Lepisosteus oculatus: one gene and its partners. The protein of the gene in region 3 interacts with the protein of the main gene of each other region in a pairwise test. Links are inferred from orthologs where the notes say so. Each region holds a gene or a part of one and is shown on either strand. Other genes may lie near its edges.

Region 1 (3,750 bases), on a different chromosome or scaffold from region 3:
AGATTTCTGTTTTGAAATGCTGCTCTAAAAAGCGTGTTAGCACATCCAGTATTATCCCATCAATTGCATCAGGCATAGAAGTGGTACTTTATTTTCATGGAACAAGTAATAGGTTTACTTCCCTGCTGAAAAGAGAAGAAAGAAAACACAACGTTTCGGCCGTGGAGCCTTCTTCAGGTGTCATTTTTTTTACACACTAGCTTTGCCCTGTACATTGAATAGGGAGTGTCAGTTTCTGGGTGGTTACCCAGCACTTGGTCCTTCGCTGTGCAGCTAGCAGGGCTGTCTGTTCCAAGAAGCTGTTAATATCAGTTGAATTCAAACCCGCTGTAGCAACTTAAAAAAGCTTTATATAATCTCAGTGACATAATGAAGATGTTCCCCCACTAATTAAATGTAACTGGGAGGCACAGTGGTGCAGTGGTCAGTACTGCTGCCTTGCAGCGCTGGGGCCCTGCATTCAGTTCTGGGCCTGATGAGCTGTCTGTGTGGAGTCTGCATGTTCTCTCCCCGGGTTCATGTGGGTTTCCTCCTGGTGCTCAGGTTCTCTCACAGTCCACACACTGGTAGGTCAACTGGCCTCTGAGAAAGGGGCCACAGTGTTGCGTGTGCCCTGCCATGGACTGGTACCCCACCTTGTCTGCCTGGACAGGCCCCGGCTCCCAGATGACACTGTACTGGGAGAAGCGATGAGAAAATGGATGGATGGGTAACGCAACAGGATCCGAGCTCAAATTAAGACGTCTGCGCTGGGTTTTCATTAACTTTATTTGGTCCCTCCATCGGCAACCAATTAACTATATAAAAAAGCAAATATAGGAGGAACACCTCCATCTTTCGCGTCTACTTCCGGGTTCCCAAATTCACCTGCATCCCATGTGACCAAACCCCATAAGTCACATGACCGCGCGGCGCAGAGACTCGACGTCGCTCGCGAGTCTGGGGAGCTGGTGCCGAGTTTAGATAAATCAAATGTCAACTTTGGAGTTTGGGTTATCTCTCTATAACCCTGGACGAAATACGTATTGGATATGTAGAAATCGTGTTGCCCACGACAAGCAGGCTCAGGTAAGCCGGTCACAGTTTCTTCCTAGAAAACAACATAAACTGTGTGCAGACGATTCTCGTGTCTTGTTTAATCAAGGGGATATATATCCAAATACAAGTCAATCGCTGGGTACTCATGTCAGCCTGCGAATGCGTAAACGATGACTTAGCGTCGTGTGTACATCATTTAAGATGCCCTGCGCATTCGCGCTGCCGTAAAGTGGCGACGAGGTTAAATCCCACGCTGAAAAGAACACAAGTTAAATGTTTCGGCTGTGAAGTCTTCCTCCACTGCGTGGACGAGAAGAAGAAATACGTGGCCTCTCCCCCCCACCACCACCACAGACACACACAGACACACACAGACACACACACACACACACCTGAAGAAGGCTCCACAGGCAAAACACTTCAGCGTGGATCTGGACTCCCAGCTCCCCCGCCTGCCCTTAAACCCCCAGCGCTCATCTACACATTCTGGCGCTGTTTTAGGTGTTGTTGTTGGCTATTCGAAGACACTAAAAGGGGCCAGGCAGCAGGGCAGAGATGACTGGAGATAAACCCCAGCGGGCGACGTGAACACGTGTGCGGCGTGCATGTGTGTCGCCCGGATTACATCAGCGCGCGTACCCGCCGTGTTGCTCCTGGTTGCATCATCGGCCTCTTCCCCTCGCGCTCCCTGCAGCCTCGGGAAGGGAAAGGGAAACTCCGCGCGCCGCCGCACGAGAGAGCACCGGCACGGGGCAGCTCGCTCCGCGCTCCGCGCGCCCCCCCTCCCCTCACTCTCGCTCTCGCTCCGCCGACCCGCGGCCGAATTTTACATTTAAACGGGTCTTTTCTTTTTTTAAAAAGACACTAATCACAATAAATGACTCGCCGGGTGCGTGTGTGTGTGTGGGGGGGGGGGTACCAGCTGCATGGATCCGCCCACTGTTCAATAACACGTCGGGTAGCTTCGCTCCAAACGCTCCTAACAGCCCGAAACGAGCCTAAAACCGCCGCGACCCCGCCGCCATGACATCCCCACAGACCGATATACCCACCGAGGTCATCGTAAGACGCCTGTTCCTGGTTAAAACTCCGATCCTGGACCGCGTAGTCCTCCCTGAACCCGCGAGTCGACAGCCCACAAGCCTGGGCTCGCTGCTTAGATCGCAAGAGGAAAACAACGAGAACAGAAATCCTGGTCGGCAGGGAAAATAACCCTCTCTCGCCACTTACCTGGGGCGCTCGCCGGTCCACCCGAATCTTTAATCGAGGCTCGAAGTCTTTTAATTTTCTCTTTTTTTTTTTTTCCCCCCTCGATACCAAAAAAAAAAGTGTGTGTGCGTGTGTGTAAGGGGGGGTCCTGTTTCTGTTTTGGTGTGGTACGGGAGCTGGTGTCAGTATTGCGAAATCGAGCTCCCCGTGTAGGGGAATCTGTCAGCTGAGCCAATGGCCGGGGCGCGTCAGCCCGGGGTGACGCAAGGCGCCCGCTGAGCGGCAGCCCGGCCGGCCAATCCGGGGAGGCCGCCGCGGCGCCGGGGGGGAGGGCGCTGCTGCGGGATATGCGCGCAACTTCCGCATAGACGCGCAGGGTGTCAACAGCGAAAGCTCCCAGTCACAGGTCAAATAAGGAGCGTGTGCGTCCGAACAATGCCCATACTGTACCTTCACTGTTTAGATTCAGACGCATGTTCAGTTGGAAGGGTGGAGGGGAGATATTTGAAGGAAGTCTCAGTTCTGGGAATCCGGCTGTTAAGAAAATAAGACTCGGTTATTGTTTGTCTGGTTCTCAGAGAGGTGCTGAAAGCTCGCCTCATCGTTTAAAATGTAGACACGGGTGTTGTTGGGGTTTTTTTTATACCATCTTTGACCCTTGGGTTTCGAGAACATTATGGAACGATGACGCGGATTCCGGAGAAGGTCTCTTAAAATAATAAAACTGAAACTGTAACGTTTAAACATAGTGTAGCTTTCTTTTTACAGGACAGGGGAATAGTACAGATTAAACGAGCAAAATAGCAGGTGCGGCAACAGCATGCCCTTTAAACAGTAAGAGTACAGATGTTTTAACTTTTTTTCGCACGGATTTTACATTTTGTCGCTTTAAAACAAGCGGTCATGACACTTTGGAATATCGGTATTTATGTACACAATCTATTCCACACCTTCCAACACAAAATTCAGTGGAAAAGGGTTAATAAAAATATTAAGGAAAAGGGAAAACTCGTGATTGCATGAAATATTCGAACCATATGCTCTAACCAGGTGCCCAAAATTACTTTCACATTGCCACACAAGAAGTTCATTGGGCTCTGTGTCCAATGATAATTCTTCACCATAAATGCATCTGTCCCATTCAGGTAGTGAATTTCATGCAAGGATTCAGCCACGAAGACCAAGGAGGTCTCAAAATATTGCAGAGATGTTGTAGAAAAGCACAAATCAGGAGAAAGCTATAAGGAATTCAAAAACACTGTATATCCCTGAGCCCTGTGAAGTCACTCATTAAGAAGTGGGATTTGTATCATACAGATGGCATGGTGGTGCAGCTATTAGCATTGCTGCCTTGCAGTGCTGGGGCCCTGGGTTCAGTTCTGGACCTGGGGTGCTGTCTATATGGAGTTTGCATGTTCTTGCTGTGTTGGCGCTGGTTTCTTTCAGGTCCTCTGGTTCCCTCCCACAGTCCCAAACATACTGCCAGATTAATTGGCTTCCCAT
Region 2 (3,750 bases), on a different chromosome or scaffold from region 3:
AAAAGTACTGGTTTCAAAAGTAAAGGTTAGCTGATTCATGGCCACGGGGGACAGTGATAGGCTATTTTTCAACTTTTTTTTTAACTATAAATACAAGCAATACAATAATAAACACAAAGCGTTATATTTTCTACCGGGTTACACTAAAAAACAAAATATAAATAATAGTACAGTAAAATAGCTTTTGCTCAGATTAGCGTTAATAAAAGTCAGTATATATTCAGGATACTTATCTGAAAACTTCAGAGTGCTATTGAAGTTCTGAGTTATGACCAACTTTTAAGCGCGCATTTAAGAAAGCCTGAAATTCATTATATACAACTCTTAAGAAACACTGCGATTGAGTAATGAACGAATTTTGTTGGATCAGGATTTTTTTCGGCGTGCGGGTATGTCTGAGAGCTAGTTATCATGGCGACTACTACGACATAAAATTCACAGGCAGGGAATGAGGCTGCTTTCGGAAGACCACTGTTAGTAAGGAAGAAATACTCCCGGTTTTAAAACTGCGAGGTTTCACGGTGCTGAGAGGGACTCTAAAATCAGCACTTTTCTGCTGGAGACCCCCCGTCCCCGAAAATGTTCTCCCCAAATCCTCATTCCCACTTGAAAAAAATGACGAAAACAAAAGTTCTCATTACCAGCCTACGAGTAAGTTACACGCAATGTGGTCTTAAAAGTTTTAAACGCCGTTCAGAGAACGGCACCAAATCAAAGTTTAACAGGTCGTCTGCCTGCTTCTCCTTGGAAACCGGTTGCCAACGATTGCATCATTTCACATGACTCCCACATGCCCCGGCGTTCGTCCTAGGCGTCTTCTGACTGCATCACAACTTCTTCGGCACACAAACTATACAGCCCGCGACAGCTAGCAAGGTTAACTAGGCCCGCCCCCTTCTTTGCCACACATCTTGGAGAGCTGAGCATCTTCGCCCTCTCATTGGATATCACTAAGCGAAAGTGCCCTCGAGCGCTGCGTGGAATGGACAGCAGACCTGTCAATCACAGCTTGACGCTAAGCAGTCAGACTAGACTGTCACCTCCCCTGTTGTCTCAAGTGGTTTGGTTGCTCCAAGTATATAAGCATCGCCGGGAGTTTCCGAAATTCACATTCAGTGACATTACTGAACAATGGTTAACATGAGCTATCATCACTCCACACCAGAAAATAAAAATTCTCCGAACCACAGACAGTCAAGAAAGCGAAATAATAAAAGAAAAAGGGTGAGTGTTTTTTTTTGTCTATTCTGAATTCCAAGAATTCCAAGAGCTTTTTCGCTCTTTTCTGGACACGCTGTGCTAACTTTAACTTATTCCCTAGCGGTGAGGGTTGAGGTTGTGGAAAAAATACAAGCAGGGACATGTTTTGGCAGAACTCCCATGTCCGTTTTAGGAAAACAGTTGTTATTCCCGTTTTAACATTACGAGGTTTTCCTTTTTGTGTTGTGTTTTTTTTTTAATGACAATGTTCTTTCGAATGTGGCGACTTATTGGTTTTTAAGATGTTCGATCTTGTCTTGAATGTGAGCGTTAAAAAAAAGTTATTCTATTTTTAGTTACCTTTTTTTCACGTCTATACCTGAATTACAACCTAGGAGCCAATTAATATTGAAATAATGTCAGTGTAATTCAAGCTTAATTTAATAAAACCTCACACTGTTTCAGTGTTTCGCTAACCAAGACGTCCGTATATCGAATGACTGGGACTGTCAGTTTATATATATATATAAGTTTAGGAAATCGATTAGGCTTCAAATGTTTTAATTCATGTGTGTTCATTCCGTACTGGTTTAGTACTACAAGTGAATTTGACTGTTAATTATGCTTCCCAGGAAGCGTGATCAAGAGCCTCAGACTGCCTTTGTGTGTCTGATTCCATTACGTAATACAACCACCCGCACTCGATGAACAAACAAGCCGAGGAAGAAAATCGTCCTATTGAGACAAGGTTTCATTAAAAAAAAAACATGCATACTAAACCATGTTTCTCCGATGCTAGCTGCGATAGTTTCTACTGCTTCCACTGCCTAGCGTCCAATATATTTTCTAACACCAGGAGTAGAACGCCGAGTTTACTGTTTCGGTGTGTACAGAACAATAATTACATAAATGCTAAACAGAGAGGAATTATTGTTGTGGTCGCTCTCCTCTGAACTGGTAACGGATTTGCCTCCGTGAGTTTGGATAGTGGAAACTAACTTGAGCCATGAGGGGAACAGTGTTTTTCTGTTCTTATCCGCGCTGAGTAAAGGTAATCAAGAAATAGCACCATGGAGACAAATAGAGCGCCATTTAATGACAAAGTGTATAGATTTTTAAGAAACGTTTCAACTGCGCTGGTTCACCTGTGTGTCGTTAACGAGCTCCTTCCACCTGTGCCCCGTGCTCGAGCGCCTCCTCGCCGCGGGGTTAAGCGAGGGATCAGCGCTGTAACCCAGACGACCGCACGGGGGCGCTCGCGAGCGACGCCGATGTTTGCATGGAAACCAGCGTGACCTAAATTTCACAGTGGATTTAGCCCGGTAGGAAATAAACAAGTCCCTTGTCCAGCCATGTTTATTTATTAAAAAAAAACAACATTTTAAAACGTCCCACCTGGAGTGAATAGTTATAAACGGCAACAATTTGAAGTGTCTGAAAATTTAATGTGACATAAAATATTAAATGTAACTTTGATGCAGATCGTTTTCTTGGTTATCATCTCAGCACATCACAGAATGCCTAAGCATGGGCGTGTTCCAATCAGTCCATTTTTATCTCGGATGCTGTCTGATATGTGTGACAGAAGCTGTGTAAAATGTGTGTCAGCCTGCCCAGCTGTAGGTTTTGATTCTGCTGTAGGGGGTATTCAGATTCTTCTGAGTACAAGATATTAACAAAAGATATTTGTTTTTCCCTAGATCGTCTCTGACACACCAACACCGCCGAATCATCGCCAGACTTGATTAAAAGGTGAATGGTGCTGTTGTTTTTTTAGGATAAGAAGCAAAGAGTTATGTTCTAGTACTTGTGAAGACTGGTGACAGTTACTTACCTTTGATAAACCCGTATAATTTTTTTTTTTTCCCCACTTACTGAGCTATATAAGGGAGTAAGAGATGAAGGTGTGCTATGAGTTTTGAAGCCGCTTGCAGTATCAAACTTTTAAAATTATAAACATTATACATTATAAATGGGGCATGTTTTCAAAGTGAATGTAAGCCAGCAGGCTGCGCTGTTTCTCAGTCTCAATGCCACCCCCATAAGTGCACCGCAGCTTGTCATATTATTACCTTATAACTTACACTTACACTTTTATATAGAGTTTTTCAGGACACTCCAGTCAAAGTGCTATACGGGTAATGGGAACTCGACTCCACCACCAGCAGTGTGCAGCCCCAACTGCACCAGTACACTCGCCACACACTAGCTATCGGTGGAGAGGAGAACAGAGTTGTACTATATTAAAACATCTCTGTTCGGACCGGAATTCGCAGACAAGAGGAGGTCATTCATCAGTTCTGTCCCGTTTGCTCATTGGTACTTGATTGATCCCAGGATCTCATCCAGCTGTTTCTTGAAAGAAGCCAGGCTATCGGCTTCAACAACATGGATGGTTGGCTTGTTTCACACTCCCACCACCCTTTGTGTAGAGAACTTCCTCCTGTTCTCAGTTTTCAGTGCTCTTCCATGTGTTTTCCCCCACTTATGTTCTTTAGTTCGTGTCGCTGTTCATTCTGAAGAAGTCCGGTGGGCTGACTCTCGTTTGTG
Region 3 (3,750 bases):
ATAAACAAGACCTATTGTTATCAGTATTTGGATTAACATGGACTAATTGCGGGGAATAAGTACCACTACACCTAAAACACGTGGAGAAATGTATTTTCATAACGCAGCTGTGTTCTAGAGCAGATAACACATACAGACCTCTAAATATGTTCAATACATCCTTTTTTTAAATGAAAATAAAATGCTATGTCTTTTAATCTTATTACCGGAGTATATAATTGAGAGAATTCTCAAAAATGACGTCAGTATTATCTTGTAGTATTAATGAATACATTGCTTTCCCGCCCCTTCTCGTCATTAACAACAAAAAAAATCCCTCTCTCTCAATTTATCGATTTTTTTTTTCCCCTTCTGACCGCGTCAACCTTAACCACTGACTCACACCTCCCCGCTCATCCGCTCCTGTCAGCTCATCCAATGAGAGGGAAGAGTACACGTGAACGGCGCCGCGGGAGCCAATCAGCGTTAGGAGTTGTTCTACAGCGCTGCGTGACCGGGTCTTCCATTGTAGAAAGTAGTGCCGACAAAGACACCAGCAGCCTTAAGGATTGTGACGTAAGCTGAGCTTTCGATACGCCACGTTCGATTTTCAAAACTATCAATAATTGACATCGTTAACTGTATTGCAAAATAACGGGAGTCCCCGTTTGTTTGGGTTTCCGTGTGTCGGGCTTTGTTATGGTCCTGCCGGATGTATCTATGCCCGCGCATACGTCATACGTGACGTCATTTTTGCGCTAAAAAGAAAGGGACGCGGGATCATGTTCAAATGCATTCTGAAATTAAAAAGCGGAAGAAACACAGCAGAATTTAACAAAAAAAAAAAGCGCCAACAGTGTGAACGAACAATCGATGAGAAAAACGGCAACCCAGGTCGGTTGCATTCAATGGGCGGGGCAGAGAACCTAAACTGCTATTTAAACCTTTCAAGTTTATCTTCATCTTAGGTGAACTCGCGACGCCCTCCATGATTTTCCTTTTTTAAAAGAAAAAACCGCGTGTGTTTACGAGCACACACGCTTCAAGGCTTCTAAAACTGTCATGTGGAATGAGCACGGCCGTGAGCCTGTCGCGCCCGACCAATGTTTTCACCAGCGCCCTACTTCCCGGCGCGCCCGAGCTCCGCTATTGGACGAGTGGCGGACTGATACGAGCGCCCAAGGATGAGTCGCCCTCGGAAGGACACACGGCCGTGGCGGTGGCTATATAAGCGGAGGCGGATGACGAACTGCCACATTTCTGCCCTTGAAGAACAAGAAGAAGAGAGTCGTTTTCAGATCCGTGACACGAGCGGCCCCGCTCCCCACCCCACAGCAATGGCAGTATAACGGCGTGCAGCGGCCCAACCAGCAGCGGCAAACCCGGCAGTGCAGCGGCGAATTGCACTGGCTTTATATTTGGCAAACATGGCGTGAGTATATGTTTTGTTCTGCTTCACCCGCGGAGGTCGGAAGTGTAGTTGTGGGTTGCCAAGCAACCACTTCAGTGTTAAGTGAGGTGATCCTGAAAATGAAGGTCCGGGTTATGTTATCCGATTTCTTTTTAAATGGGTAAACCAAGACTGGTGTATGGAGAATGTAATGACGTTTAAACATCAATAATTTCGGAGATGGGGGTCATTTAGTATCAACATATGGACGAATGATTACTGTAGAATTTGTAGTGGGGGAGACCCGTTTAACTCATTAAAATGGGCCTATAAACGCGCTCTGCCTTGTTGATAGCGTACAACGTGTCCATTCGTCTTTCCTGCTCGCTTGACGTGTTGAATGAATTAGACACGTTCCGGCCGGTCCCCGCTATTCGATCGGTTTTGGCAACGTGGCAGCCAAGTAAAATGGCGTTGGTCCCCCGCACTTCCCCAGCGCTAGGGAGTGGAGCTCCAGGAAAATGGCGTCTGTTTTAGGGAGTGGGAGAGGCATGCCTCTGTACGGGCAGGGCGACGTCTGCGGCTCATCCGCCACAGCGAGTGGAGCTTGTTCTCTGTGGGAGGGAGGTATTGAAGGGCGCCGAATCTTTGGCCCCGCCCACACGGGTTCCCGGAATAATGGTTGCTGTAGCAACTGCCGGGCTGGGCGCCAGCGGCGTGAGTCACAAGACGAGAGGGGCGGGGCTCCCGCTCGGGCCATGCCCATATTTGGTGTGCTTGTTTCCATTTGCGGGCGGGGTTTTCCTCCCCTCCCCGGCGGGTTGCTGGGGCGTCATGCTGAAAAATGAACCAGGAGAGGGACACACGGGTACCACAGTGTAATTACCCAGGGGGGGGATTTCGTCAAAATCAGACGAAAGGCAACAAGGTGGTTTTGTTCAGTTGTACCCCAGAGATTAAAAACACATACCCCCCCCCCCCCAATACTTTCTGGGTTGCAAATATGTGAAGTAGCAGATCTTGCAAAAGCTTTGAACCAGTTTAAATCTGAAGCCAGTAAGATCTGTCACTGTGAGCAAGCTCGAGGACATTGGGGAGACATGGAGGGGGGGGATGTGCCCCACAACAGGCGGCCCTTCGCTTTGTTCGGCGTTAGTAAATTTCCGTGAATCGCACTACATCGTTTTCCTCGATGGCGTCTTTTTTTTTCCCCTCACCGCTCTCTCCCTTGCTCCTGCAGGTCCCTCAAGGCAACCCTCAGCACTGCTGCAGTCGACAGCACAGAAGACCGGCTCGACTCCCCGTCACCAGCAGACCCCTCGGCGCCCCCCCTCTCTCTGCCCGCCTTGTTGCTCTGCCCCGCGCTGACCAGCCATGCTGTCGCTGAGCGCCCGCCTGGGGCTGGAGGAGCCCCTGTGGGACCAGCCGTTTCTGACGGCTGACTCCCTGGGCTCCCTCCTGGGTGAAGAGCCTCTGGAGGGGGCGCCTTCGACCCCCTCCGATGCCTCTCTCTCTCCCTCCTCCTCTCCCTCTTCCCCCTCTCTCTTCGGCTGCCCCTCTCTGGGCAAGGCTGATGATGACCTGGGCCTCCACTGGCTGTCCACTGGCACGCTGCTGGACGCCACCGCTGTGAGCAGCGGGAAAGGTGAGGCTTTGCGTCTCCGGCCTGCGCGCTTTTCCTCGCGGCTGTGTCCCGAGGTTTCTCCGGCGGCACCGGAGTCTGCCGTACGAAGCACCTTACAATACAAACGTGTTCTTAGACTCCTGATCTCCTGAGCTCCCTCAGCACTAGAGATCTGTATCCAGACGTTTGGATGAGGGGGTGCCCTCTCCTGTTGTGAGCTGGTTTGTGGGTGGCGTTTTTTTCTTCCCCCCCAGGGGTGGGAGGCTTGGTCTTGTTTTGAAGATTTTTGGGGTTGGGGCAAACGCTTGCATGCTGGTCAGATCGCAACATCCACCTGTGGACGTTTAGAAATAACTGCGGTTTTTATTTTTTTAAAAAATCCCCAGCGCTGTCTCTTTTTTTAAAGTCACGCCAGTCGATGAAAACCGAAGTGCTTATCCCCCCTGTGTTTCGTCTCCCTTGCTCCGCAGAGTCGGAGGATGCCTTCTCCGGCATGGATTGGATGGCGGAGAAGATTGACCTGAGCGAGTTCGACCTGGATTCCCTGATGGGCTCCTGCGCGTCGGACGACCCTCCCAGCTCACCGGAGGAGCTCATCGCTTCCTTGGAGAACGACCTGGACCTCGACCTGGACCCCCTCCCTCTCCCCGACCCCCTGCCCGCGGTCGGCGCCGGCGGCCCCCTCGTCCTCTCCGACACCCAGCAGGACGTGGCCGTTGCCCTGCCTGAGCTCCTGCTGCCCCTCCCCCTCCCCCTG

Evidence for each region.
Region 1: the proteins of atf4a (region 3) and cebpg interact in binary tests that used the Homo sapiens proteins (3 or more experiments, as listed by UniProt). The link is inferred for Lepisosteus oculatus from reciprocal best matches to the Homo sapiens genes ATF4 and CEBPG.
Region 2: the proteins of atf4a (region 3) and ddit3 interact in binary tests that used the Homo sapiens proteins (3 or more experiments, as listed by UniProt). The link is inferred for Lepisosteus oculatus from reciprocal best matches to the Homo sapiens genes ATF4 and DDIT3.

What each region holds. Positions count from the first base shown.
Region 1 is NC_090715.1:15,638,623-15,642,372, forward strand, and holds the start of cebpg (CCAAT/enhancer-binding protein gamma), read right to left. Parts: upstream 2,501-3,750; 5' UTR 2,269-2,500; intron 2,263-2,268; exon of another isoform or gene 2,091-2,262; intron 1,069-2,090; exon of another isoform or gene 916-1,068; intron 1-915. UniProt on the Homo sapiens protein: Transcription factor that binds to the promoter and the enhancer regions of target genes. Binds to the enhancer element PRE-I (positive regulatory element-I) of the IL-4 gene. Binds to the promoter and the enhancer of the immunoglobulin heavy chain.
Region 2 is NC_090696.1:18,057,013-18,060,762, forward strand, and holds the start of ddit3 (DNA damage-inducible transcript 3 protein), read left to right. Parts: upstream 1-1,051; 5' UTR 1,052-1,224; exon of another isoform or gene 1,225-2,522; intron 2,523-2,900; 5' UTR 2,901-2,952; intron 2,953-3,750. UniProt on the Homo sapiens protein: Multifunctional transcription factor in endoplasmic reticulum (ER) stress response. Plays an essential role in the response to a wide variety of cell stresses and induces cell cycle arrest and apoptosis in response to ER stress.
Region 3 is NC_090707.1:36,440,829-36,444,578, reverse strand, and holds the start of atf4a (cyclic AMP-dependent transcription factor ATF-4), read left to right. Parts: upstream 1-1,226; 5' UTR 1,227-1,411; intron 1,412-2,609; 5' UTR 2,610-2,743; coding exon 2,744-3,014; intron 3,015-3,463; coding exon 3,464-3,750. UniProt on the Homo sapiens protein: Transcription factor that binds the cAMP response element (CRE) (consensus: 5'-GTGACGT[AC][AG]-3') and displays two biological functions, as regulator of metabolic and redox processes under normal cellular conditions, and as master transcription factor during integrated stress response (ISR).